Linked DNA regions of Struthio camelus. The protein of the gene in region 3 interacts with the protein of the main gene of each other region in a pairwise test. Links are inferred from orthologs where the notes say so. Each region holds a gene or a part of one and is shown on either strand. Other genes may lie near its edges. The genes, in order: IGF1R, GIGYF2 and GRB10.

The links.
Region 1: the proteins of GRB10 (region 3) and IGF1R interact in a two-hybrid assay, tested with the Homo sapiens proteins (4 studies listed by BioGRID and IntAct). The link is inferred for Struthio camelus from reciprocal best matches to the Homo sapiens genes GRB10 and IGF1R.
Region 2: the proteins of GRB10 (region 3) and GIGYF2 interact in a two-hybrid assay, tested with the Homo sapiens proteins (2 studies listed by BioGRID). The link is inferred for Struthio camelus from reciprocal best matches to the Homo sapiens genes GRB10 and GIGYF2.

Annotation. Positions count from the first base shown.
Region 1 is NC_090953.1:5,223,070-5,232,980, reverse strand, and holds the start of IGF1R (insulin-like growth factor 1 receptor), read right to left. Parts: upstream 4,656-9,911; 5' UTR 4,579-4,655; intron 3,883-4,578; exon of another isoform or gene 3,527-3,882; 5' UTR 3,498-3,526; coding exon 3,404-3,497; intron 1-3,403. UniProt on the Homo sapiens protein: Receptor tyrosine kinase which mediates actions of insulin-like growth factor 1 (IGF1). Binds IGF1 with high affinity and IGF2 and insulin (INS) with a lower affinity. The activated IGF1R is involved in cell growth and survival control.
Region 2 is NC_090950.1:5,920,474-5,930,224, forward strand, and holds the start of GIGYF2 (GRB10-interacting GYF protein 2), read left to right. Parts: upstream 1-5,359; 5' UTR 5,360-5,490; intron 5,491-6,107; exon of another isoform or gene 6,108-6,193; intron 6,194-6,515; exon of another isoform or gene 6,516-6,542; intron 6,543-9,751. UniProt on the Homo sapiens protein: Key component of the 4EHP-GYF2 complex, a multiprotein complex that acts as a repressor of translation initiation. In the 4EHP-GYF2 complex, acts as a factor that bridges EIF4E2 to ZFP36/TTP, linking translation repression with mRNA decay.
Region 3 is NC_090943.1:65,754,241-65,763,561, reverse strand, and holds the start of GRB10 (growth factor receptor-bound protein 10), read left to right. Parts: upstream 1-5,332; 5' UTR 5,333-5,581; intron 5,582-6,527; exon of another isoform or gene 6,528-6,952; intron 6,953-9,321.

The DNA.
Region 1 (9,911 bases), on a different chromosome or scaffold from region 3:
AAATGCCTAGATCTTCAGAAGGAGATATTTCATTCGGGAGGTTCTTAATTGGGTCATTTGAGCTAAATGGTAACTGCAAACACTTCAGAGAACTGAAAGCTAACATGCTAACATATTGTTTCTGCCTTATTTTATTCAAGAGCTGGATGAACGTTTGTATTTGAAAGCGTTCTGTAGCAGGTAAAACAAAAAAATCTTGACGTGTGCACCTCAGTGTTTTCAGAACACAGCAGACCCTCCTCTTCTGCTTTTTCTCCAGACTACTCCATCCTGTTTCAAGCCCTTCCCTGAAGAAGGGCACTGGGGTGTTGCTTTTAAACCTAAAGATTAATCTTCCCTCTTGAAAGCAGCTCTAGCCAGAGAGTTCAGCTCACCGAAGAGCGACTGCTCCAGCCCTAGCTGGCCCTGCCGCTGCAACGCAAAAGGCAAAGCTGTGCCTTAATTTGCAACGAGTTAATTGGCATTCGCTGCCTAATGAAACATTATATTACTCAACACGCGTTACAGGCTTCATCTATGTGCTTCTTGCTCAAACGTTTTTTTTTTCCCCCCAGTTAGCCTCACTGTCGGTGCATCCAAAGGGGCTTCCCTTTCTTTTCAACCCGAAACTACTACTTTCAGAAAAGCCTTTACAGCTCCCAAATTCTTTCCCTTTACACTTAAAATGGAGAAGATTTCCTCCCTTCCTTGCAACAAGGCGCATAATATTTTTTTTCGAAAAATAAGAGGCGCACAACAACAGCTCAAGTAGTATGTTTAACAAAAAAGAAAAAAATACACATACAGACACACAGCGGAAGAAATTAAAGCATCAAGATACAGTATTAAAAAAAAACAACACCTCTGCCTCTGTGGAGCAGAGGGAGACGGAGCGGTTATTAGAGGGGTTGGGCTCCGAGGTGCACGCAACACCTCCCTGCCTACAGACCCTGGGGGGGGGGGGGTGGAAAAAACAAGAAAACCCCAAACAAACACACAAGGGAAGGCTGATTCCGTGCAAGGCAACCTCGACCCTCCGACATCAGAGTGGGGCCGTCCCGGCCCCCCGCGCTGCCCTGGACGGCACAAAAACAACGTCGCGGCGGCGGCTCCCGGACGACGCCGACAGACGCCGCGGCCCTGCGGGGATTAAGCGGCAGGAAGAAGCCCAGGCAGCCCGGGGCCCCCGCCAGGCACCTTCTCCTCCGCGCGGGCTGTACGCGCACACGCGCGGAGGAAGCGGCTAGCACGCCGGGAAACCCACCGCGCAAATCTTAAATCTAGATACAACACGGCCGCTTCAAAAAAAAAAAACAAAAAACCACCACACGTTTAACAGTGTAGTCCTCCCAGGCATCAAACGTTTCTGTTTACGCGCAGACATAACGTAGCGACCTAAAAAATTCGGGGGGGGGGGGGTGGATCGAGACGGTGAGCTGCAGGACGCCACCTCAGCTCTGCGCCCCAAACGGCGCGGACGCAGCCCTTCCTCCACAGCAAACCGGTCAGGGGAGGCACCACGCTTCTCCCAGGAATTCCTCACTCCCGCTGCAAGGGTGGTTTCACCCAGACCTCCCAAAGGCCGAGCCGCCCTCCAGGTGCGGAAGGCAAGCACGGCTCTCCCCAGCCCTCGAGTGTCGACTACGCAGTTCGCAGCCCTGGCCGCAACGGGCTAAAAACATCGCGCTAAAACGCGGGGGAGCTCTCAGGGGTGTACAGGTTAGGTGCGGGGAACAGCAAGGAGGCGACGGGTGGCCGCTATCACTGCCGCGAGGCAGCGGCCGCAGCTCTTTCTCACCGGTGCATAAAGGCCAACCTCCCGCCGGAAAACCGGGAGGGCAGGAGGGAGGGAGGGCAACGCTTTCAAACGTGCTCAAGGAGCGGATTCAGTAACCGGCGGAAAAACACACACATCGCCACAGGCGGGCTGCGACGCGCCAGCCACCGCCGCGCCGACACCCTCACACACACACACACCCCGGGAGCCCCTCGCGACACCCTCACACACAAACACACACACACCCAGGGAGCCCCTCGCCGACACCCTCACACACAAACACACACACACCCCGGGAGCCCCTCGCCGACACCCTCACACACAAACACACACACACCCCGGGAGCCCCTCGCGACACCCTCACAAACACACACACACCCCGGGAGCCCCTCGCCGACACCCTCACACACAAACACACACACACCCCGGGAGCCCCTCGCGACACCCTCACACACAAACACACACACACCCCGGGAGCCCCTCGCGACACCCTCACAAACACACACACACCCCGGGAGCCCCTCGCCGACACCCTCACACACACACACACCCTCCCAGAGAGCCCCTCGCCGACACCCTCACACACACACACCCCCGGGAGCCCCTCGCCGACACCCTCACACACCCCCGGGAGCCCCTCGCCGACACCCTCACACACAAACACACACACACACACACACACACCGGGAGCTCCTCCCCGACCCTCAGACACAAACACACACACCCCGAGGGAGCCCCTCGCGACACCCTCACACACACACACACACACCCCGAGGGAGCCCCTCGCGACACCCTCACACACACACACCCCGAGGGAGCCCCTCGCGACACCCTCACACACACACACCCCGAGGGAGCCCCTCGCGACACCCTCACACACACACACTCACCGGGAACTCCTCCCCGACCCTCACTCACACACACACACACCCTGAGGGAGCCCCTCGCGACACCCTCACACACACACACACACCCCGAGGGAGCCCCTCGCGACACCCTCACACACAAACACACACACCCCGAGGGAGCCCCTCGCCGACACCCTCACACACACACACACACCCCGAGGGAGCCCCTCGCCGACACCCTCACACACACACACACCGGGAGCCCCTCGCCGACACCCTCACAAGCACACACGCACCCCGGGAGCCCCTCGCGACACCCTCACACGCACACACGCACCCCGGGAGCCCCTCGCGACACCCTCACACACAAACACACACCCCGGGAGCCCCTCGCCGACACCCTCACACACACACCGGGAGCCCCTCGCCGACACCCTCACACACACACACACCCCAGGAGCCCCTCGCGACACCCTCACACACAAACACACCCTCCCCGGGAGCCCCTCGCGACACCCTCACACACAAACACACAACCCGGGAGCCCCTCGCCGACACCCCCACACACACACACCCCGGGAGCCCCTCGCCGACACCCTCACACACACACACCCCGGGAGCCCCTCGCCGACACCCTCACACACACACACCCCCTCCCAGAGAGCCCCTCGCCGACACCCTCACACACACACACACCCCGAGAGCCCCTCGCCGACCCCCCTCAGGCACACCGTCACACACAAACACCCCCCAGGGAGCCCCTGCCGACACCCCCCGCGCCGCCACGCACAATACTCACTTTCTCCATTTGTTGGCCACAGACAAAGTGTGGCGAAGAAGAGCAGAAACCCCCAGAAGAAGGCGAGGGACCCTCCTCCGGCGCCAGACTTCATTCCTCTTTTTTTAATTGGACAAAATCCCCCTTTCAGAAAAAAAAATAAAAAAGTAAAAATAAAAAAGTCCAAAATTGTCCTTTTTTTTTTTCCCTCCCCCTCCCCGTTCTCTAAAAAATACGAACGAGGGAGAAGGGGGATGAGAAAGGGGGCAGGATAAATAAATCCACGTTGCCTCAAGAAATTAGTAGTAATAATAATTAATTTAAAAAAAAAAACACGACGACGACCCTTCGGCTTGCAAAAAGCCGAAGGGGTTTCGAGGTCCTTGGGTGTTGATCTTCCGGAGGAACCACACCAAAATAAAAATATATATATATGTGTGTGTGTGTGTGTGTGTTGCGGAGCTCTAGCAGCAGCCCCGGGCGGCGGGCATGGGGCGGCCGGGCGAGGCCGAGCTCCGAGCTCCGAGCGAGCTGCGCGCTGCGGGCTGCGCGGGCGCTGCGCGGGCGCTGCCGCCGCCGCCGCCGCCTGCCCTCAGCGCTGGCTGCAGCGGCGCGTCGTGCACAGCAGTCGCAAACGTGAGGCACCTCGGCGCTGGCAGTCTGCATCCTCCACCTCCATTTTCCAAGCCGGCACACGCGGAGGCCGTACGCGCGCGCGCGCGCACACCCCTCACACCACAAAAACAACCCAAAAAATAATAATAATAATAAAAAAAAAAAAAACAAGGAAAAGCGGCGGGGGTGGTGGTGGGGGGAGCGCGCAGGGAAGGCTTATTACAAAACAACAACAGCGCTTCCCGCGACGGCAGGTCAGCGCCCTCCGCGCAGCGGCGAAGGGATCCCCCCCTCGGCGAGGCAGGGGGAAAAAAGGGGGGAAGGGAAAAAAAAAAAGGAAAAAAACAAAAAAAAAACCCAGCCACACCACCGCCACAAGTCCGGCTGGCCGCAGAGAGAGCCGAAATGCGGAATTCGGAGCAAAAAATGAATCGAAGAGGTTTCCCCCTGCTCCTCCTCCTCTTCCTCTCCTCGGCGCCGCTGCCACAGGCTCCTTCTCCCCCCACCACGCACCAAAAAAAAAAAAAAAATTAAAAAAAAAATTAAAAAGGAAGAAAAATCCGGGACACACACACACGCACACACAAAGCAGCAGCAGGGCGAGCCGCGCCGCGCCGCTCAGCGCGCCGCCTCCTCCTCCTCCTCCTCCCGCCGGCGCTCTCCCCCTCGCATCCCTCCGAGCCGCCGTGCCATCGCGCCGGGGGCGGGCGGAGAGGAGGGGGGGGGGGCCGCCGCCGCCGACGACAACAACAACAAAAACCACCCAGCGAATTTGTAAATCCTTTTTTTTTTTTTTTTTTTTTTGGCCTCCTCTTTCTCCCTCCTCCTCTGGCTGCGCGCGCTGCAAAACCTTCCCCCGCGCTGTGCCCAGCCCCGACGGCGGCGGGCGGGCCGAGGCGCGGGCGCGAGCCGGGGGCTGGCTGGGGGGGAGGCGACCCGCTCCGCTCCCCTCCGCGCCGCTCCGCTGAAGGTCAAAGCCCACGAGCGCGCGGCGAAGGGTCCGTAATTCCTGCCGGGCGGCCGCAGGCGCCGCTGCTCCTCCCAATTAATTCGCCGCTCGCCCGCGGCAGGGTTTGCACCGCGCTGCTGCCGCCGCCTCCCCCCTTCTTCCTCCTCCTCCTCCTCCTCCTCGCTGTGCACGGCGGAGAGCTGACGCTGGTAAACAACAGCCTCAGCGCCGCGCCCGCCGCCGCCGCCTCTGCCTCTCCGCGGCCGCACGGGGACGGGGCGCGCGCGCGCCCTCCTCCTCCTCCTCCCGCGCGCGCGCCCTCCCGGAGGCGCGCGCGCGCGCCCTCCCGCGCCGGCTCCCCTCGCCCAGGCGGCGGCGGCGGCGGCGGGGCGCGAAGCAAAAGCCGGAGCGCCGGAGCGGCGGCGGCGCGCGGAGCGGGCGCGGCTGTGCCTCCTCCCTCCCCCCCCTCCTCCTCCTCCCGCGCGGGGCTGGGGGCGAGGGGCCGCGCTCCGCTCCGCGGGAATCCGCCCCGGCGGCCCGCGCGCAGGGGCAGGGGCAGGCGGCGCGGGGCGCGGAAGCCGGGAGCCGCCGCGCCGGGTGCCTGCTGCGCGGCCGCACCTGGGGGCGGGCAGGAGGCGAGCGGGGCTTGGCGGCAGCCCGGCACCGTGGAAAACACCCCTGCCTTCTTCAGAAATAATAATAAAATTAATACAAATAAAGGCGTGAAGGGACGGCGTTCTGGAGAAATGCACAGCTGCGGGTTTTGCACGGCCTGTTTGCCTGTTTGCTGTCGGTAATCGCTGTTAACGTTGCTGGCACATGGCTTGAACGCTGCAGAGCGCGGCCAAAAGGCCGAGCGGCAAGCTCCCGGGATGGGGGTTCGGGCCCGAGGAACGAGGGAGGCGAACGCTCCCGCTGGCCTCACCTGCGAGAAGACCCAACGGCATAATTTGCCCCCTTTCACGTTTGCAGTCCTCAGTGAATACGGCGTAAAAGCCGCTGTCCCACGTACAGCTCGCCGCCGTCCGCAGCGCCAGGCCTCGGACGGGGAGGGACGAGACCAGCACACGCGGGGAAGGTTTGGACTTGCCGGGCTCGCAAGCAGACACCCGCGCGCCTTAGCTGTGCGCTAGTTCAACGAGAAGCTGCATTAAGAGACAGGCGAGTGTCACATTATTAACGCGAGTGTCAAAAGTAACTTTTCACGTTTAACCAGAAGATTTCTTGAATATGTCGGATTACAAAACTTTCAGTTATGTTGCTGCATCATTTTGCGCAGCAGCATTCCTGTTTTCCTTCTTTCCTTTGTCCGTGTTCACACATTTTGCCGTGTCAGAACGGTCCAGGCTTGGTGTCTCCATCACGCGTTAGCTCTCATACCCTGTCGGAAGGATGGAAAGGCCCCAGGGACTTTATTCTACACCAGTGAGGGGGAGTTTTGTCACGCAGTCAAGCACCGCAGGGGCAGGATTTCTCCACGAGCCGCTTTCCAGGACTGTATTTTTCTAACGCAGTCGAAACACCGGTGCCTGCACATCCAGGCGGTAGCCCAGCGCAGGGATGCGGGGCAGGAGGACAGCGCGAGTCCGTGCGAAACAGCCCTAGACCGACGTGCGCGGGTGTATCATACGCTTCACCGACTCCACGCGGGTTTTCAAGGATTCACTGAATTCGGCCGAAAAGATCTTCGAGTCTAGTGCATGTTTATTATTGCTCTGTAGGACTGTGCCTAGTACTAGCACAGGATATTGAGCAGAATAACTGCGCTTTCCGCACATATAGTGTGTAAATCGTCATGTGTTACTTACAAGTGAACGTGGTGCTGTGTAAAGGCCAAAGTGAAGTGGGAAACGTGTGTCTCCCTGTTATCGTTTTGCTGTCATTACGAATTTTTGTTATTAAATAGCCTTTCTTTTCATTGCTTCGACGAATAGGACAAGTCATGCAAAAGTGCCTTGTACGAGACGCAAACGTAGCTGCACTGCGCCCCCAAAGGCCTCGCAAACTAAGTCATATAGACCCAATCCTATAGGCGTCTCAATGCATTTTGTTTCTGGAGTTTCCTTTGTTTCTCAAAGGAAAACAAACTAATAACAGCTCAGGGGGGGACTTGGGGCATTCTCGCCGCTCTCCAGCTTCCCGTGTTGCCAAGGTGAATGTCGTAATTTGGAGTTTTTGGGCTAGATTCCGCTAGGACATCTTAACTTATATACTTACATGCTGCCTTATATCCCGGGAGGTGCACAGGAGGAAGCCCTTCCTCTGCCAAGGCCGAGATCTCCGTAGCTCCGTACCCCGAGAGGTTCGGAGGAGAGTCGGCAGCCGTCCTTACCCTTTCACCTCCGCGGCTTTCCGTGTCGGCCCTGCAGGCAGACGCGCTCAGCTTCAATGCACGCTTTTAACCGCGTTCTGCTCCCTTGTGGGAGCACCTGCCTCCGAGAGTGGTCCTCTTATTTATTTTCGGTGGGAGTATTTCAGTTAGGATTTTTCATCAGGTACAACCACAGCACGCTCGTCTCTTTACCTATGAAAACCTCGAGCAAACTGTACTGTACGTACGCGATGCACCATTTAAAGGTTGTAAATCGGACAAATGAAAGATGATTCTCATGGTGATGTGCAAAGGTGCTTCGTGATGAAATCCATTTCCTTGTCGGACACCATCTGCCTCTGCTTTTACCCGCAGACCTGCTCAAAGGAGGTTGATCTGAACGGAAGAAGAGAAGGTTTAATTCAGTGGGAACCCAGACCTGGCATCCTCAGCCAGGCTGAGCAGCACCCCCAGCCTAAAACCAGCTGCAAGAGCTTAACCTTTCTTGGGATCCAGAAATGATTAAAATATCTTGTTCGAACTTCATTGCAAGAAAGTCAAACTGACTGAGCATAAAAATATCCAGCCCAAAAGGGGAAAGTTTCCGCCAATGGATTAAGTGAGATGATCGAAATGCGGAGTTCCTGCAGCTCTCAGGCTCCCGAGTGCTTGCGAGTAACCGAGCACGTGTTAGGAGAAACCTGCCCCGTACGGCTGTGGCCACGCACAGTCTTTGCTGAGACCTGGTGAAACCATGCCTCCGCTTTGTTGGAAGCCGTTTGTTTTGGAGGTCGCTCTCCCAGCAGCTGAGACCCCAACTCCACGTCTTGTGTCGGCTGCATCGTGCCCAGCAGCTCAGCCGTAAGCTGCGCAGCCCTCGCTGTTCTTCATTACTGCCTGGCAATTCACTGGTGTCCTGATCCTTGGCAACGTCTCCTACATGAGACTGTTAATAATAAATAAAGAAAATTAAGAAAAGAAGAAAATTAAAGAAAATTAAATAGAAAATTAAGGTATATGATGTTTAATGCATGTCGCATGGCTAGATCTATGCAGGGTTTTTTCCCTCCTTTCTTTCTACGCATGAAGTCTACGGTATAATTTTCAGCAGTAGGAGAAATCGTTTTTCTCCTGGCTTGATCTTCCCTAAACGGTCAGGTAGAAAGCGTCTTTCTTCTCCGTCCCGTTGGTGCTACAACCATTCCTCCTCTGTGTTTGCGCTGGGCTGCATGCCTCCCCTTTTCCCACCGCCACTTTATGGTCCTCAAGATAGACAGATGGACAGAAAGCAACACATAAATCCACCCGCTTTGCCCTCCGGAGCGCGGTGCAGATTGCCACCGGCATACCTGCGTCCTGGTTAAAATGCCGCTTAAGTGGAAAACGCAGGAAGTGTGGCAGTGGGGATGAAACGACGCGGTTAAAACAGCCGCTGACCCCGGTCTCTCAAAACATGTATCTGCCCAAGGCAAATATCCGAATACTCAGCCATATTTTAATTTTAACAGCAGCCTCACCACTGCTTTCGGGGGCCACCACTGGGGAGAAAGAGGCCTCACTATTTTCCCTGCCTCAGTGCTAGCACTGCACTTAGGCCGGCCTAGACTTTATTTTGGCTTCCGCAGCAGTTTCGGGGCAGACTGACCTCTTTACCAGACGCTAGCTACTCGTAACCTTTAAGCATCTGAACGTTTTGCATTGCCGGTGTGAGAGATTTATTCTCCTGCCCTCCCCGAGCGCGTCAGCTCCTCGGGACGAAGCCCAGCCGACTGGAGGTGCCTCTTGCAGGGTCTCTTCGCGGCCCCTTTCACCCCTCCTAATTTTGCAGGCAAGGCGTGCTCCTTAGGGGTTGGGTCTGGGCGAGCGACTCGTCTTCCCAGCCACGTGTGCGAGCCTGGTCCCGGCACCTGTGGGACACCTCCGAGGCCTCGGCCATCACCTGCTTTCTCCCCTCCCCCAAATCTCCATTTATAAACCCCGCTTTATAAGCTGGTAGCAAGCCCTTCGATACTAGGCACAACGCAGTTTGCCCTTTTTTGCCCGGCATCGCCACTTGGTGCTTGGCTGGGAAGTGCGCCAGCCGCCAGCGGCCTCCACGGGGCTCACGGCCCTGGGAAAATGCTCGGCAAGGGGACAGGAGCGCGGCACGCGTTTGGGCAGCAGCATGCCGGTAGCTGCTCCGCGGTGGCAGAGATGTCCGCAGAGCCTCCTCACCTTCCTCCCATCTTTTCCGTACCAGCTCTGCAGCCTCGGGCCGGACTGGGGCAGATGAGACCATCCGGCCGTAGCAGAATCCCTGCAAGCCGCACCTCTTTAAGACCAAAAAAACCCCAACAATTGGCTATGTTAGTGGTGTGCAACACTTAAATACCGGTGTGCTGATCAGAGGGACCTGGAGGAAGCCCACTTCTTCGGTCGGCTTGCCTCCGAGTGATTTCTAATTCTTCTGGCCCTGATACTACTGCAAACAGCGGCTCAAAATTGGTCCCTTCTGTAGCAAATAAAAGCCAGAAGGGAAGAAAGGGTGCTGTTTATACCACCTTCCTTGTACGTGTCCTTCCTTCAAACAAAGAAATATGCAGTTACGAGGACGATTTAGGGGCAGCGGCTGAGCGGGAATAACTATAAAATTCATGTTTTAATAGCAACAACAA
Region 2 (9,751 bases), on a different chromosome or scaffold from region 3:
TCCTTCTCTTCTATACACCCTTTCCCTCTTAACTCCTTATTAATTCATTCCTTGCTTACAGGCAAGTAGTGAGGTCTTGTGTAAATCAGGGTGTACAAAGTACAGATCTACTTCCTGTATGTTTGTACTGCTGTTGGGTGTTGTCACACATCCTTAATTTTTTTCCCTTTTCTTCCTCAAAGCCCTGTGCCACAGGCACTGTGAAAGCACTGTGAAGAGAGAGTACGATAGTTAATAGGGACATGGATCAATTAATTATGATTTCCTGTAGATTTTTCTGCTGCCCAACAACATGTTGGTGTGTCTTCCAGTTTTTCTTCTCTGAAGTGCCATAATAACAAACCTTTCAATAAGAGGTGAGATTTCCCAATACTTTGGAAAGAGGAAGCTGTCTCTCTCTTAAACAAGGAATAGAAAACTGTTGCCTGACCATACATCTTCTTTCACATTCCATCATATTTAGTGTACTGTATGACTTGACTCTATTTTCCAGCCTTAGACTTCAAAGAAACACCTTTTTAAGGGATATTGCCAGATGGACAGTGTGACTGGATGGCACATTGCATTTTTATCTTTGGAAATCTGCTCATAGCCTGAATCATAAAGGTGACTTTGATTTCATTAGAGCCATGCTAGATAAAACTAGCCCAGCATACTGATCAATCCCTGCTCCAGAAGGGACAAGCAGACAGATTAGCACATGTAGCTGGACTGAATTTAGAAGGCTTGCACTAAGCTTAGCCATTTTCTTTCACAAACACAGAAAGCTTGCCCATAGATGTTAAAATGCCTGAATCTTGTCTGGATATACTCTGTAGGTCATGACCAAGGGAAACAATGTTCCCTTGGTGAGACCTCTCTCTAAACATGGATTTGCTCAAGTTATTTGCTCTGTTATTGCCCTGGTTTGTGTGTGTATTTCTTTTTTTTCCTCCTTCCAAAACAAAACTCACTAGTCGTCTTTTCACTTGTCTGTTCTGCTTCTTAAACTGTGAGCACTAAGCTGTGAGCATGGAATAATAAATAGAAAAACCTCTACTCTTTAATGTCAGGTGAAAGAATTGCTAAACAATTAAACTGTGTATATATCTTCACAGATTATATTTTATAAAATCACGCTTTTTTAGCTAAATATTTATAATTAAATGTTTTTATACTTTACAACAAAGCAGATAACTGCATCTTCAATTATTTCTCCTGTTGCTGAAATGTACAAATAAAGCCTTGTTATCTCCAGTCTTGCATGTGGTTGATTTTGGGTCCTTCCTCCTGAACATGCCTCTGTTTGAGCCCCAAAGTTTGGTGGCTTGACTTGGATAAGCAGAGAAGTGTTCAGCCCCTTCTCGATATGCCCTCTACTGCTATACAATAGTTCTGCTGTAAAAAGCCCTAATGTTTGCAGTTCTTCTGAAAGGGATGTGGCTGTGCAAATATTTGAAACACTGTCCACTGCAAAATGTTGATATCTGAACATTGTCAGCCTTCCCTTATCTTGAAATAGATACTGCACCTCAGCCTCTAGTAGTGTCTCATCTGGGAGCCTGAGTAGGTTGGTCTAACTACATTTCTCTTTGTGTTTCATCATCCTGCCTTCATAGGAGAAAAATAAATGCATCACAATCTGCAAGCGTTTCCAAGAATCTTATTCTACTTGTGCTGATCTGCTAAGCTTTGCTGGCACGGCCAGTGTGGAGGGCTAAGGAGGAGGCCTAATTAGGCTTCATTGCAGGTGTGATCCAGTGATGAAATGGAAATGCTGTATCCAGTACAGATCTTCAATCTAGCACTGCTCTGTGAGCAGTTCATGCATTTGCTGCACATCTGTGAGCCCTCAGGTCTCTGGGGTCATGTAAAAATCAGAGTGAAGGAAGGCTCCTTGCTCTCCACTTCCTTTTTGCAGCTGTCAATGTTCCTTTTCCCCCTCCTACCCCACCACAGCAAATGCTGCTGCCTTGGCATAGCAGTTCTACAAAGGGAAGCAGGTAACATGTGGTTGGGGGAGGAGCCCTGGGGAGCAGGAGGGGAGGGTGGAAAAAGGACTTCCAAAGTGACCATTTTAAGACTTGAGTCAACTCCAGCTGACAAGTTTCAATAAGGAAATGAGTAGCATGTCTGGCCCTGAGGTAGCTTGGACTGCAGAGCCGGGAAGGTAAGGATCCTTCTTTTGCCATGCAATCCCAACGTAGGTGGGTCAGCAGGGACAGGGAGAATTCACAAATAAGGAAAAAGGGCTGCTGGAGTTGCCCACCAAGGAGATTATCAGTAGGCCTTGGAAACTTGTCATGTCTGTAGTCAAGACTTTCCTCTTTAGCCCTTCTCCCAAAGGGTGGACTTTGCTCATTAGTCCTTTTCCCAAAGGGTGCTCAGTCTATCTGCTGAACTAATTGGATTTTTTTTCTCAGCCCAGGCTTCTTCTGTGAGGTTCCTCTTCTCTGGCGTATGCAGGACAATGGCATCAGGTTTCTCAATGTTCAGTTTTCTGCTAGAGTGGTTTTGTTCAATTCAAGCAGATGCTGTTAGCTGGGGTCTGTATTTAATGCAGTGAACAGTATGTGCTTTTGGGTGTACAAATTTTTTTTTGTTTGAAGGTGCAGCAATGTAAGTTTTGAAGTTAGTTTTACAAGAACTGGCATTTGGAATATAAACGCTCTTTAAATTTTCTGTTTGGCTCGGAACTATTGGATTAAATAACATAGCGTCTTCAGGTTATGCAGAAGTGCTAAAAAAAAATTGCCTAGATAAATCTCCAATCCAATACTTATTGGCCCACAATACCTATTCAATCTTATTTAGCTGTACTTAAAATCTTACAGTCTTTGATACTATGTCCTCCTTCATGTTACTTTTATGCTTGATATCACCACAGGTGGCTCCAGCAGGCCCAGGCAATTCCAATTCTGGTTTCCGATACCTGCTGGTACATCGATACCAGTCTGGCATTACTGACATGCTTGGAGTGACCGTGTGCGTTGTGATAGGGAGGAGAAGTGTGAAGAGAGAAACCCTAGAGAGGTGATTGATGAAAAACCTGTTGTGGATTTGGGTCTTTTCCAGAAGGGAGGAAGACGTGCCTCAAATTGCTCATGTAAAGCTCAGGGAAAGGGAAACAATATGACTGGGAGTATCTCGTCTCTTCTTCCTGGATAAGCGTTCAGGCTTTAACTGTGAGAATTAAGGTGACCAAACTGATTTTTAACCTTTTGGGAGTGTCCAAATAAATCCCTTGGCAAGGCAGATTGAAGTGACCAGAGTGCTTTACTGCTCCTGTTCAAAGTTAGTTTGCAGTGTGAGAAGGACGTCTTAAAATAACTGGGTGCTGCAGAACTAGCAGTATATTTGTGATAGTTTGTCTTTCAGCATAAGCCACCTGGGGTGACAGACGCATTGAAATGACTGACTTTAAAGAACACGGTCCGGTGTTCACCTGCCTGCCTCGTCTGTTGTTTTTATTATTTTTTAGGGACTTCACAAATGAGGGCTGTTCACCATTCCCAGGGAAGACAGAGGCTGTTGAGAAGATAGCGACTGTTCTCAGACAAAATGCTTGGTATATCAGCAAACACAGTAGCTGTGTCTTAAAGTAACTAAAACTTGAGGTGAGGAAGGCAGAAATGACGGACTCCGCCATGCCTTCTGAGCTGCTTTATGACGATTATTTACCTATTCAAAGCTCTGCTCTGCGTCCCTAGCTCCACTGCTATAGTAAAGCAGGCAGGCTCCTGCTTCCAAACTAGGATGCCTTCAATAAGGATTTCTTTTGGTTCCTTAGCGATTCCATTTCCCTACCCTTGGGTTTTTAACAGTGCAGTTGAACTGGCATGGCATCCGAGATGGCTTTAAAGTACATCATATCTTCAGTACCTTAGTAAATGTCAGACTGGCTAGTGAGCTGATTTCATACCTAGAGTACATCAGCTGCAGTCATGTAATTAAACCATGGAGGAATTTAACTGCACAGATACACTCCTCTATGTTCATGACTCACTGTTCTGCTTGAAAGTGTTATGGATGATTTAAGTGTGTTATGGATAATTTGAATTTCCTTGAGATATTTTCAAAAAACGCTAAGTTCTGCACATGAGACATCTTCCAGACACTCTCGTCTTGACATTTTTCTCTCAATAATGTAATGTTTGTGCTAACCGGGGGAAAAAAATTCTGTAAGTTTTAAACTTCTCCCATCTCCGATGTAGCTTATCTTAGAGGACATGAGAGTATTTTTGAGTGCTCCTACTCACGTTCAACAAGCAGAATAATAAGGCACAGCCACTTCTGGAGTGAAGCTGAAAGGTCTGACTGGCAGCTTGATGCGCACCACTGCATCTCTCCCTACTCACACCGTTATTGATATTGGCTCGAGCTGTGTGGCAATAACCAGGAGAATCAAAATCTAGCTTATCAGAGCCCTTTGCTAGGGAGCTTTCTTTTTCAAACCAGCCTCCTAAAGGAGAATTTTCATTCTAAGATTTTGAAGGGAAGCAGTCCTCTGTTGCTCTGGGCTAAAAATAAGAGCTCAGAATGATGAACTTTCAACCCGTTATCCCAGAGGAATCGCTTGTGTGCACTGTCGCGTCATCTTTGGCCAGCATTCAGTGCACAATGACAAGTATTTATTCACCTAGAAGAGCAGAGCTAAAGCTAAATGGATTGTGGCTGAAGTCATGACTGTTTCAGCTGAAAATGGTTATTTCTCCAAAAGCACGTAACAGCTAAGAGTAGCTTTTTTAGGCTGAAATAACCACACGGGGCTATTCCGCGTCGTGTACGAACAGGGGTTTCAGGGCTAAAAATAAAACAGTATTTTTCAGCTGGAAAAGCTTGCCCTGAGCTCCTGACGATGTTCCCGTCAGGCAGTTTAGTATCAAAACAGCTGCTGTGCCACCTACCGCGTTTTCTCCAGCTGCCAGCGGCGGCCGCCGCCTGAGGCCCGGCCTGCCCTGGCCGGGGGCCGACACCCGGGGGCAAAGCACCCGCCTAACACACCGTCGGCTCCCACAGCCGGGCAGCACCGGGCGGGTTTTCAGTGCAGCCACTAGGACGGAATATACCCAGAGGTAACCTAAAACCGCCAGGCGTGAGGGCGAGGAGCGCCAACGGCCGCGGCGCCCGGCGCCGCCTCCTTCCCACAGGCCTTTGCGGCGCGGCGGCGACCGTTGGCGCCCGCCTGCGGCAGGCGGCGCTCGCGCTCCTCCTGGGCCGGGGCGGGAGGGGGGGGCTGCGCGCGCATGCGCCTGGGGCCGCCCCCTGCGGGTGTCGTCAAGTGGGCGGTGCTTCCGCGAGGGCGGGGAGGGGGGAAGGGGAAGGAGGAGGGAGGGGGGAGGAGGAGGGGGAGGGGGAGAGAAGCCCGTTTTCCATCCGGGTCTCTGCGGCGGAGGCCGGGGGGCGGGGCCCGGGCTCACGTGACGTTGCGTGGCGGCGCAACCGCCATCTTGTGTTGTTGGGGCTGAGGAGTCGCGGTGGCCGTGAGGGACTCTCCGTCCGGGAGCGCAGGTACCGCCGCGCCGCCGCTGCCTCCGCCCGCCTCACCGCCGTCCCACCGCGGGACCGCACCGAGCCGAGCCGAGCCCGCACCCCGAGCCCCGGCCTCGCCGGCGGCGGCCCCTGTCCGCCCCGAGCCCGGGCTGCCGCAGCCCGGGGCGCCCTGCGGCCTAGCGGGAGGGAGGCCGCCCCAGGCCGGGCCGGCGGCGCGGGGCCCCTCTTGGGTCTCCCCTGCTCTCCTCGGGGCTTGCTGGGCCCGGCGCCGCGCTCCCCGCCGCCGGGCGGGCATCGCACTGTCCGTGCGGCCCCTTGGCATTAGGGTTCGGCTTAGGGACGGTGCCTGTCAGGCAGCGGCCGGGCGTCGCGCCGCGTCGCGTCGCTTCGCCTCGCCTCAGCGCCTGAGGGGCTGGCAGCTGCGGCCCCGGCGCCGCCTCCCCTTGCGCTGACCCGTGTGAACTCGCTCGTCCCCTCCCCGCCCCGCCTGGCTGGGCCTGTGTTTTGGCCGTGCCGCGGGCAGGTGCGCCCTCGCTGAAGCCTCCGTGCCCGGCTCCCAACACGCCCGGCTCTGTCAGGTTGTACGGGCTGAGGAAGGAGGGAGCTGGTCGCGCACTCGAGCCTTTCCCCCGCAGGCAGGAGGGTGCTGGGAGCAGCAATGACCAGCAGTGTTTGACTGGAGAGGCCTTGGCAGGCTGAAGAGCACATCGATCAGGATTATGTACGTTTGGTATTGATCCAAGACAAGTAGTTTCAGTGTCAACAAAGCAGTCTCCGCTCTTTCAACTCTGTGTAACTGCACTTTGAAGTGGGGCAAGTTTTAGGCCAAAAGGAGACATTGCCAAGTGACACTTCTGGAATAAAACCTATATTTTCCCCAGTAGTCTTCAGCCTGCTGCTTTTGATTTGCTGTTATAATACTACTCTCTCTTACTGTAATTCTTATGTATCTGTTTTCTTGGGGTGGAGGGGAACAGACTTTTGAATTCTGCCTATGTTCTTCTGTCTAACTTCTTGCTGCTCATTCTGTTTTCTTGCTTCAGGATCTGACTTGGGCAAGTTCCTGGAAAGTACGTGTGAATTTTCTTTCCTTTTCCCATAACTCTTGCAGTTGCGTTTTATTTTTAAGTTACTTCTTAATAAACACATTCAGTTGATGCTTTTTCTGAATAGAACGTTTGGTAGATGTACAGAGTGATAATTTGGACCCTTTATGAATGAAATTGGTTGCTGTAGTCCCTAACAAGAGCTTGTTACAGGTATTCTTGAGCTCTGTTTTTCAGTGGTGGTTGTAATAGATAATACTAGTTCTAGTGTCATGCAGTATTGGTGTTACTGGCGTTCACTTGACTGGACCTCCTTTGGTCAGTTAACTGATGCTGAGGTAAAACTATATGCCCTAGTCAGTCCTAGTGGTGTCAACAAAAATGCTAAAGTGTCTTTTGCCCCTTCTGCACCCTCTCCACCTCCCACCTCATATAGACGTAAGTCCTACAAGTTAATTAATGTCCAAGTTCATGTGTGTCAATGTTAATTCCTCACTGAACATGTGATTGAAAACAAAGATTCAGTATAATGGCCAACTATATTAAAAAGAACGTAGAAGTTTATCTGCAGGAGTTGAATGTCAGCTGTCGCCTTCAGGAGGACCTGCTTTCTATTTTTTAGGATGCTCATAGAAAGACTTTAATACCTCAGTAAAAACTCTGACCCTTGTAGATCTTCTCAGATTCAACAGATGTTGATCTTAAGGGGACTTTAAAGTATCCTCAGATACTTAGTGGCTCTCTTGCCTTCCTAAAAACATGCAGTAAATGAAAAATGAGATCTCTATACTGACAGAAGTGAAAAAGCTGCATGTAAATAATGAGTTGAGATTTTACCTTAGTTTTTCTAATAAATCCACTTCTTGATTGATGAAAGGATTTGGCGTGTCAAAGGGGAGTTGAAAAGGGTCTGCAAGGAAGCTTTTTTTAAGGAGAGTTCAGAATAAGTGCCATTGTTTCTCTTCTTCTCCTGCTGTCTCCTAAGGTCAGTTGTCTAAATGGAGTCGTATCAGAAACTGGAGTTTCTTAAACCTGAATGTGAGGAAAAAGTTGGCAGCACTTTTAGGATGTGTAGATACTTCCTTTCTGAAGCAAACTTGATGTCAAAGTCTTGTAGAGCATCTCATTAGGGTAGGCACACAGACTGACTGAAGAGGTTATTTGCTAGTATGTACCTCTGCTGAAAAGTCTTTGTAGTTATTTAAAGGTACAAAGGGAAAAACAGTTGGCAAAATCAGTTCATAGTAATCTATGAAGATGAGTTAGGCGCATGGACCATGATCTTTTCCTTCCCTTCTTCACCCTTCTTTAAAGTGGTTCAGCCTCCAGCTCTTTGGTGGTGGTGTTGGAAATGTCAAGAATATGAAATATGATTCTGCTTACTTTTGTCTGCTCTTGTAAGCTCAACTATCGAATGCGCTTTTCTTATTCTTGCACTGAAGTCTTTAACCTCCCTTCCTACTGCTTTTTAAAGTATGAAGCTAAATCTTCCTACAGTCTGATTTTTAAAAATTCCTTTCCTTAGCTTTTTTTGTCTATGCTTATGTCTTTTTTCTTAGTGCCCCTGCTCAAAGATGAAATGAGATAAACTATATTTAATTTACAAATAGAGATAGGCAGAGGTAAGGGACTGAGCAACAACATTTCAGATCATAAACCTCAAAGCATGGGCCTGATATGTTTCCTCCTTCCTACATAGCTTGCTGGAGATCTATTGAATGTTTTGGTAGGGAGAAATCCATCTCCTTGTTATTGAAAAGACATTTATGTTGAAAGAGATCTCTTTCTTCATGTGGTTTCTCATTGATTTATTTTAATTCATTGAGTGACAGTTGAAAACTTAGGTGTGTGACATGTTCCAGAGGGGATGATGCTATTTGTTTTCATGAGAATTAAGTCAGTTATCAGCCTAGCTTTGCCTCTCTTTCCTTCTTGGCAGTCAAGTATCAAAGTCTTCGGCTGCAGAAAGGATCTGGCTTGAAAATCATCAGAACTGAGAACAGTTAGCAAGTTTGCTCATGGTATACTTCAGTTATAGATGGAACTGAGAAGAATTAAGTGCTTTAAATCATAAGGTCTATACAACATTGGCCCTCTTGTGGTTGGTTGTAGTGTATGTATATATATTTGTGTGTGTATATTTATATACGTGTCTGTGTGTATATATATGCACATGCAACCGTGTAGTTGATCATAGTAATATTCATTTTTCCTCCTCTAGGTCAGATGGTAGCAGAAGACTGTAAAAGACAAGTTCTTGCATTGCTTTGTTAGTAGCTAAGATTGCCACAGTATGTTGATTACAAAATGTGTCCAGTTCTCTTTTTTGCAAAGAGAGGGCTGTCAATCTGTTCTTCTTAAAGGTCAGTCAACATTCCTTGAATATAGAAACTCTGCAGCAGTGGCTTGATGCCTGTGAGAAACTAGGCTGCCATTGAAAATTTTATGTCTCTCTTGCTTATTTTTTTTGTATGAAAGGATACACAGAATTGTTTTGTGGTTTTTGGCAAATGTGACATCAAAGTATGTATTTTCAGGAATAATCTTTTTGAAGTCATTAGTGCTTGTAATGTGTATAAGCTGGTTATCTAGACCTCAGAGGATTGTGGAGAAAAGCAGAGATGTCTGTAAAACTAGGGGGTCTGTAGGTCAATGAGACATTTTGCTGGGCATTTAGAAAATGTATCTAAAATGCTATTGTGTTGACAGTACCTTTTGGATCATTTATTAGCTTTTGATTCCCTCAGCTAATTATTAATAGTAATGCATTGTGGATTTGTTATCTTTTTGGCCATATGTTTTCGAGAATCTAGGCAAACAAAGCGATTATTTGCTGCTCTCAACAGCGGCTTTTGTATATTTAACTTGTCACTGTAAACAGGTAAGCTGGCCTACATATAACGTGTTACAAAAATAAACCAAATGGAAAATTATTATTGAATGCTAAACAGCTGTTATTGAAGCAAAAGTAAGCATGACACGTTGCACTTTGAAAATTAATGTTTTGCAATTGTATATTTGGTCATTTTCATTCAACAGGAAAATACTTATTTCAAATTGTGATTACTATGAAAAACTTTCTTCCTGTTGTTGACAACACATTGAAATCCCTTTCATGGTATTGACAGTATTTTATGATGAAGATACCAGTTGGTGGGACTGGAATGTTCTGAGGCTATAGATCTACGTATGCAGGTTAGATGGGATGAAAGGAGATTTGTGGCCTGTATGTG
Region 3 (9,321 bases):
ATTTAGATGATAATGTAGTGCAGGCTGATTGGCTAAGATGTGAATTTGTACTTTTTAAAAATTTCCTCTTGCTAGGAAGGCAAAATGTGACTTCCTCCCAATTCATTTAACCTATTTCAACATTTAACCAAGTATTTCCTTTCGACTTAAATAGGTATTGCAAGCCTGAAATTACAGGCATTTTGAAATTGCAGGAGAGGAGAATGCAAAGATTTCTGCTCCTTAAGTAACTATTAGCTTTCTAGCACATACAAGTAAGAGGCATTATTTGCAGACTTTTCTATCAATTCCACTGAAATATTTTGTAATTCTTCTAGAAAAGTGATGTTACATGCTGTATGTTAGGCAGCCTGGTAGACTGATGAGGCATGGTTAAGGCAGCACGTGGTGAGAACCAGCCTGGGCTTTAGCTCTGCTTCCCCATCATACAAGCCGTGCAAAGGCACGTCGATAGCTTACGAGACTGCGTTGTACAGAGATCCCCATGTTACTTCTGAGGATGCTGATATCCTGCACAGCTCAGTGCATAAGCACAAAGAAGATCTGATTTGGGTGCAGTACAGCTGGATTGCCATGCCTCTTCTCTTAGCTCGGTGAAGTCTACCGCTATGGAATCCCTTCCTGTTCACATCACTGTAGGGTTCCCTCCTGGTTTTCAGATGGCACTAGCCAGAAGATCCTGCTACAGGACTGGTGAAAACATGCTCATAATAGCTCCAGCGTACAAAGCAAGATATGAGGCTGAAGATGCAGCCGTTTCATATCCGCCCCCCAACCAAACCGTGAAAAGCCTCAAGATGAAATCATGGTCGCCCTAGGCTCACAAAGAGCTTTGCCACTGACTTTCATGTGGCTGGATTTCCTTCTGAGTCACCGTCCTAGTTGTTCTCTCCTCCTCTGTGACAAAGCTGTGAATGAGCACTACATGTTTTGAATAGATCCCAATTTTTCTTGTCAAAAAAGAGAATATATACTATAGCTTGAACTGCATCTCCTCCTATTGCAGTATATTTCTGATTTTTTTTTTTCCTTTCATCTAGTGATAGCTGGCACACAAGTTAAACTTATGCATCTGGAAACCAGTTGGCTTTTTGATTTGGAAACAGTAAAACACATTTAAGATGTCATTTCACCTAACACCTTAAATATCCAAAAATACCCAGTTTTCTTCATCAGAATTGAGAGAATATGATAGGATACAGTTATTACTGTTGAATTAGTCAATGTGTTAATTGTAGGGCTAGAACCGGGAATAGGTGTGTTTTTACAGACTGGTGGGCTAAATTTATTCCTTTTTTTTTTTTTTAAATGCAGCTTCTGTTTGGATCATCAATGTCTCTTAGAATTCCATTCTCATTTTTACCAACTTGTGTAACTGTTCCATTTTGTGCAGCCAAGAAAGAGCACACATCTTTCACTGGAGCTCAGACTTCTAGCTCAAATTACAGCATGTCCCTGACTATTCAGCCTTTTTCAAAAGCTGTAAATAGAGATATAACTTACCTAGCAACAAAAAGGAGATCTCCATAATATAGTCCAGTCAGTTTATTCTGCTGCGGTTATGCCATAGCTCCTATTTTTCTCTTATTATTAAGATAAATATTATACTATCTTTTTAGTATTAAAAAAAAAAAAAACTTTTTCCTAATCAGCTAATATTAAAAAGCCTTTTGATAGCAACTGGGCAGAAAAAAAGAACTACCTAAACCTCTAAAATTAATGCACTTGGTAAAGCTTCTGCAGGGTCAGGTAAAAGCAGAGAATTGAGTGAAAACTAGAGAAAAAAAAAGTAAAGTCTGAAAATGTTGGTCTTTTGGTGAATTCTGAAATAAAATCTGTATACTTTTGCTCTCATAGAAAAAGTGAAATAGTGAAATGTGAAATAGTGGATGTTTTTATAACACATTTAGTCTTAGCCCTTTCCCTTCCCCTTTTGGCTTTTGTTCTCCACCATACAGTGGTAAAATAGGTATAACGGAAAAAAAATGAAGAAGATGGAAAGGAGGGAGAATTTTTTTTTTACCTCTTTTAACATTAAAAAGACTTCATTTATTTTTTCTGGATATTTTAAAAAATATTTCAAGTATTTGCCTCAACTGTAGTAAAAGCAACAAAAATATTAATTTTAAATTGGTTTTCTTCCAGGTTTAACCTTACTAAAATTATAGTGTGTTACACTTCCTGTCTATTTAAGGTGAAAAGCCTTGTCCGTGACAAAAGAAACTTATTACCATTTCAAAGGTTGGTCAGCATTTTTGCCTATATACTTAGTAGGTAATAATGACCACGTTGACCCTTTTTTGATCGCTGAAGTCTTTTATCAGTGTATTCATCCTAGTTAAAGATGATGCTCAATGCCCACTTTCATATAATGCTGTCATGAAAGTGCCTTTGAGAATGAAAGCAGTGGCCAGATTCTGATCTCTCTTCTTCAGATCTTATACTGGTGGATTTTCATTTCCTACATGAGTGTAAAAGAAAGGAAAATTGTGCTTGTTCTCAGAGTATATATGAAATCTAAGACTGTTTAAAGAAAACATCCTATCTATGGGACATTTTTCATTGTTCAGTTTAATCAAAACTCCTAAAAATGACCTTTTTTTTTTCCACATGCGGATAACTGAATTGTAAAGCTTAGCGTCCCTTGGATAAGTTCCAGAACAAGAAAGTCACCCTGCGGAGTTTAAGTCTCAGGGCAAAGCAGCCCAAGCCCACTGTACTTGAACTTTTAACAGCCGCTTATTATTAGGAGCTAAGTCTTAAGTTCAGCGCTAACTGCCTACAGAATGCCAATATTCCGCTTAAGTTTGGGACCTGCTTCTGCAGCCTTAACACCCACCAAAAAAGCTTCCGTTAATGGAAACTTTTAAGGAGTAAAAAAGGCAACGACGGCCTTTTCCATTCTCTTTTAAAAATTGCAAGATAGCACATCACAACGGTAGAACGCAGTTGTTCCCGCATGTTGACCGGGCAATAAAGGGAGAGCCGAAGCCCCGAGCCGGGTGCTGCCCAGCTAGGCGGGGGCCGGCCGGCCCCCCCTCTTCTCCCTGCGCGCCCTCGCTTCCCGTGAGCGCGGCAGGAGCCTCTCCGGCACGGGAAGGCCTGGCCACAGCTTTCATTAGAAATCACTGGAATCGGTCTTACCCGACCCATACCTTAGCTACGGTAAAGAAGAAGAAAATGGGGAGCGGGGATAAATTTACCCCCGGTGTAATTCCCGTGCGTGGTACTTCTGGAGGCACCGGGAAGCTTCTGCGTAAATGTTTACTTTTTTCACTGTCCTTGAGTGGAAATAATGTTTACGCACTCACCAAATATTACTGCTCCCGTTACTTCTTGTGCGGTTTTCCTTGCGGAAAATTACAATTTTTCTTTTCTTCAAGAAAATATCGGTTAATCCTGTAGGTTGTTTTATATTCCGGGCAGCTATTTTCATGGTATGGCATACTGTAGGGGTTTGTTTTTTCTTTTTTTTTTTCAGATTTGTTAGTTAAGGGAAAAGATAACTATCATAAACATGTCCTTCACCGCCATTGTAGGGATGTATTGCTACTTCTACATTTAAGAGTTTTAACGGTGCTATTTTTGATAAACAATTTTATGACAGTACAGGTTTTGCCTTGAACAATACAGTTGTAGTCTAGGAAACTAAACGTATCTTTCCTAGTGTTTTTATTTGTCAGAGGAATGTTTTCAATGCTCTTGTATATCTACTTCTTTTATTTAACTCATCACAGAATGAAAAATTTTGTACTATTAAGACTTGGGCAGTCTCCTATTTTTGTATGTATTAGAAGGAAATCTAAGCACGGACACATGCTTAACAACAATTCAGTCGGACACTTTATCACTGCCAAAAGCATTCGTAGAGGAATCCATCAACTATTCTGATTTCCATGCAAGTCACTTTACCATCTTCAAAAAATGTAACATTAATGGCACTCAGTGTACATACTGTAATCCTTTAAAATAATGCACATGGCAGACGGATATGTTCTCATGCATTAATAATTTAAAAGTTAATTTTAGGTACTTACTCAATATGATTAACTGATGGATCGGCAGTCTTATATGGAGAAACAGTGAGCACACTTAAAGAAAGAGCGTGCTGGAAGACAGCCAGGAGGCTGCTTGTCTGGTGGCTCAAAAATACCTGAGTTTTATGCTTCCATTTTCACTTCAGCCTTGCAGGTACCACATTGCCGTGCTACGGGTGAGCTCTGGTTTCAATAAGAAATATATGAAGCATCTTTTTACGTTGGAGTATCTGAACATTTAGGGAAGAAGCTGCGTATTTTGGAAGCCAGGAATTCCTGAAATGCAATTCTGCTGCTGCCTCACTCGCTAATGCTGGTCAAGTTATATAACTTCTCTCCTTTCACGGTTTTTTTTGAGGACACCCTGTGTGTGGCTTATTTTGTTAACAGTGGCCTGTAAGTTGATAGTCTAGAAGGGAAATGCTGCAGATGACAACGTATAACTGTTTCATTATGAGGCTAAAGAATGCGCTGGGGCAAATAGCATGAAAGGGGATGTGTACTAGGCATGTGTCGAGCGCCTTGGTCGGGCCCAAGGCGGCTGGCTCTGCGAGAGAAGGGAAAAAAAGTCTTCTGGACACCTCTCTTGCACACACACACAGGTCAAACAATGCTGTACCAGTCCGATCTACCTTTGTGCGACGCTGATTATGAAAGCACGTGAGGCAATAACGCCAGACACGTTGGTTCTAGCACCTGACAGCTATGCGCCCATCTATCTCCGAAGCCATCTCGGGCAGCAGAGATGCACACCTGCACCTCTTCACTGGACGGAAAAGCTGGACAAAAGTCTTTCAGCTGGAGATCGGAAGGAGGGAGCTTCCCTCCTCGGGCAAGACGGCAGCGCTGTCGGAGGGAGGCCGGCGCGGGGCCGGGACGCAGCAGCCCTGGTGGAGGGCAGCAGCGTGGGAACGCCGCCGGCCCTGCTTCCCGCAAGGCCAGCCCCGCAACCTGGCAGAGCCAGCGGAGACGGGCCCCGGCCTACTCACGCGCAGCACTGGCTCCGGCGCCTGGTGCGAATGATTCCTGGCACGTACAACTCGGGGAGGGTGGGCAGGAAAATCACCTGGGAATACCCCTCCATCCCCAAAAGGCAGGGCTCTGGTGCTGGGGCAGAGTGGCCTGAGCGGGGAGGAGCGGCGTTGAGAGGGGCCGGGCGCGGAGCGGGCTCCCCAGGGAAGGCGAAGGGTGCTAGCGGTGCTGACAGGCTGAAGAGGAGAGCTCAGCGCCGAGTGAAGTGGAGATGACGGAGCAAATAGCGGCTGCCGGGGCGAGGCCTGAGGCTGCCGGTGTGAGGAGGGCAAACAGTGAGTCTGCAGCAGAGCGGCACGTGCCTCTGAGAGGCTGATGTGATACAGCCGAGGAAAAGGGAGAGATTATTTAAGGAGCTGAGCAGGCAGAGCAAGAGGCGAGAACAGGGAGCAAGATCGCAACAGGGTAGAAACACAGGGACGGGGAGAGGGAGGATTGATAACAAAACACGCCGGGAAATACAGTAAAGAATGAACCACGGAGAGAGAGAGAGAACAACAAGAGCAATGAAGGTATCATGTTACACTTCAAAATACATTCGGCGGAGAGTTCAGTCGCAGTGCTTCCAATAGTTTCTGCCAATATTTACATAAATCAATCTTACGAGGAAAAGCCCTAAGATTTTTCCTGCTTCTCCTTGGACTTAATTTCCTTTTATAGTGCTGACGACTTCTTACAAGAGGTGTTTTATGCGTCTGACTGAGGGAGTATTCCTCCCTCCTTGGAGTGGAACAGATTGCCCTCGAGCCTGGGTGCTTTAAAACGGTAGCTCTTACCGAAGTATGCAACTGGAGTTACTTGCAAATAAGATTGCTTGGAGGTACGGGCAAAGCTCTGGTGATCCACGGAGTGAAATGCCCAAGGTCCCAGTGCGCCAAAGCGGGAAGCAGCGGCCCGTGGCAGTGCGGGAACCCGGTGTTTTGCGAGGCAGCGGAGCTCGCTTGCGGTTCCCACGCGCGGCGCGCTGACCGCCCCAGGGCAACCAGGGCTCTTACGGCCGTCTGGGGCAAGTGAGAACAGGGGGGCTGGAGCAGGTTAAGTTAAAAAGTCCACGCGGAAACCTATCACGCCGGGGAGCGTCCTCGCTGGTGTGTGTGCGCGCGGTTTTTTCTTTTTTTTTTTTTTTCTTTTAAACAAAACAACCCTTCTCCTTCGCGCCCCCCCCACCCCCACCCCCGACAAAAACACGTCATACGTGTCGCTGTGCACGTCTAGCAGACCAAGGGGCTTAGTTTCGGGGTTAAACGCGCCCGCGGCCGGCCGGCCGGCCGTCCCCCTCCCCGGCGGCGCGGGCAGCGGCAGCGGCAGCGGCAGCGGCAGCGGGGGGGGCGGCGGGGGCGGGCTGCGGCTGCGTGCGGCGGCGGGCGGTGCCGGGGGCGGGGGCGGGGGCAGGGCCCGGCGGGGCGGGCGCCGAGTCAGCTGGGCGCGGGGCGAGAGCGCGGCGGCGCCGTTAGCACCGGGAGCCGGCGGCGGCGGCGGCGGCAGCGCGGGCAGAAGTTTTCTGCGCGGAGCGCAGCCCCGCGCGGCGGGGGGGAGCGCGGCTCGGGCCTTTTTTTTTTTTTTTTTTTTTTTGCTGTTGTTTAATTGAGGTTTTTATTCTTGCTGTTTGGGGTTGGTTTTTTTTTTTTGGTTGTTTCGGGGTTTTTTTTTGTTTTGTTTGTTTTGAGGCGCGTGGTCCGAGAGTTGCCCCCCCCCTTTGCCCCCGCCCTTATCCCCCTTCTCCCCCGCCGCCGCGGGCGCCCGCAGGAGCGTCGCCCCCATCTCCCCGCCGACGAGGAGCTGCCGCGGCGCTGCGCGACCCTCCCCCTGCCGCCGGCCGAAACTTGGCGGGGGCGCGGCGCCGGCGGCGAGGGCAGGCCGGGCCGAGCCGGGCCGGGGAGCAGGTAAGGTGCTGCCGGGGGGGGGGGGGTGGGCGGCCGCCGCAGCTGGGGGTGGTTTGGGGGGTTGGGGGGAGAGGACCCGGGCGGCGGGGAGGAGAGCAAACTTCCTTTTCCTGCGGCCGCGGAGCCCCCGGCGGCGGCGCCCGGCCCCGTGGGAGCCGCCCGGGCACCTGGGGCGGCCGCGGGGGGAGCCGGCCCGCTGCCCGGGGCGGCCTTTCCTTGCTGATGTTTTGGGGGGGGGGGGAATCTCTTTTTTTGGTGGTGGGGGGGTGTATGTGTGTGTTTTGGGCGCGCGGTTGTTGCCGGCGCTTCGCGTGGGAGCCGCTCCGCCAAGCGCTGCCCGAGCGCCCTCTCCGTTTTGGCGAGCGGGGTACCCCGATGGGCACTCGGCAAAAATGCCCCCCTCCTTTTCTCCCCCCCCCCCCCGCTTTGCGGGTGCGGCAGCGCCGTGCGCCCGGCCGCGCCTGCTGCCGTGGACTCGGAGGGCTCCGGCTGAGCCGATGCGCCCCAAAACAGGGTCTAGGCTGGGCTGGTGGGGAGGGGGGGGCTCCCTGGTTTCTGCTGCCCGCATTTGCAGCCCCTGGAGGGCGGCGAGGCCGAAAGGCGCGTTACTGCGGTGCTGCAAGCTGCGCCCGAAACTGTGGCATCTCCCTAAGAGCAGTTTGCAGTTAATTGGTTCGGCAGATGAACTCCTGCAAAATCCTCTTGCCCGCTTCTGTCGCTTAAGGGCCAGCCCCCCGCGTCCCCGTCCCCTCATCCCCGTCCCCCCCCCCCCGCCTTTTTTTCCCTGCTCTCCTTTGAAGCCTCGCATAACTCCGCATGGAGAGGGGGGTGGGAAGTGCTGATTCAGCAGCCTGGAGCCCCGCTCCGGCTGAAGTGGTGGTCTGCGTAAAACGTCTCGATCTGTTGAAGCGGGAACATGTGTTGCTGGTATGTCGAAGCAGCCTTGATCAGGTTTTATAAAAACAGCCTTGCGAATGCGGTTTACTTTTCCCTCCTCTATATTTAAAAAAAAAAAAAATCGGGGTGGTAGTGGGGGAGCTACCAGCAGTTTAGATGGTGAGAGAGGGATATGAGGGTAGCTACCGTGTTAAGTTATGCTTCCCAAGGGCAGCTGAAATTGTGTTGCCTCATAAAGGTGCTGAGCAGTTACTCATTTTAACAAAGATTTTGCAGGCTATGTGGTGATGAAGCCTTAACAGTTTAACTTGATTTATTCCTGCATCTGAAGACTAGTTGTACTTACAGCACTAGAAAAGGTACCGAGAAGGGCAATAAGGCTAATCCTAGGATTAAAAGGAGTGAGTTATGAGGACAGGTTAAAAAAAAAAGTGTACGGAGACTAGAAAACCTGAATGGGAAAAGGAAGTATGCTTGAAACATTAAAGGACAGGTCTGGCTGCGCTTTCTGATCATTTGGGGGCTGGAGAGGGTTGGGGAGGGGTCAGTGGGATACTCTATGCGTGGGATGCATAAAGCAGAAGACTTACCTAGCAGTAGAGTAGAGGAGGGAGAGCTATTCAAGAACCATGTTCCTCAGCCTATCTTTGTACAGTTATATGCTAATACCAAGGCTGTTCTGGTTTAGAGAAAGAAAACCCTAACTCCTTAAAATTCTGCACAACACAGAGCAAATGATAAAGCCTGAAGAGCAATATTTGGTAGCCTTATTTCAGAGGGTGAATTGACAGAGCAGCAGACCTGACGCTTGCCCCCCAGTGATCATTTTACCATGTTCTCCTCTGATTTATTTTCTTCACTTGCACTTTATTTGTTCTTAAAGTAGGTCTTGTTTGCCCTGGCTAGGTATTAAAGATCTTGCGGTACTTCCATGGTTTTCCTTGGTTTTGTTAATCAAAATATCCCCTCCCTTAGTGCTATGTGAGAGTTGGCTTTCATCCTCAGATCCAGGTGTGGCTGTATTTCAGTAGTGTGTTTCTATTTTATTAAATCATGTAGTCCAAAAGCACTGCCTACATGTAAAATGGACCTCTCCATTTCAGTTCTGCTTAAGAATACGCCATGTATTCTATGAATAAAATGAAAATTTTTGCAGCCCTCTCTCTTGCATGTACTTAAATGACTCTGACTCCGGCAAGAATTGTCACAAAGGTTTTTAGGAATCTTTGGTCATATTCTCAACTGCACTCTGGGTGTAAATGGGCTAAAAGTATCTGGATCTCTTCAGCAAAGGGATTCTTCCAGCGCGCGGGGAGTTCCCAGCTGGCAGAGGAAAGGCGTAGCTGGGTCATGTGCCATTTCTGCCAACAGCATGCGAATATTGCGCTGGGAGTTTGTTTTCTGACAGTACCAAACTAGCAGATGTCCCTCTAGACTGCGCGGCACAGGCGGTTGCCTTGTGCACGCTTAGC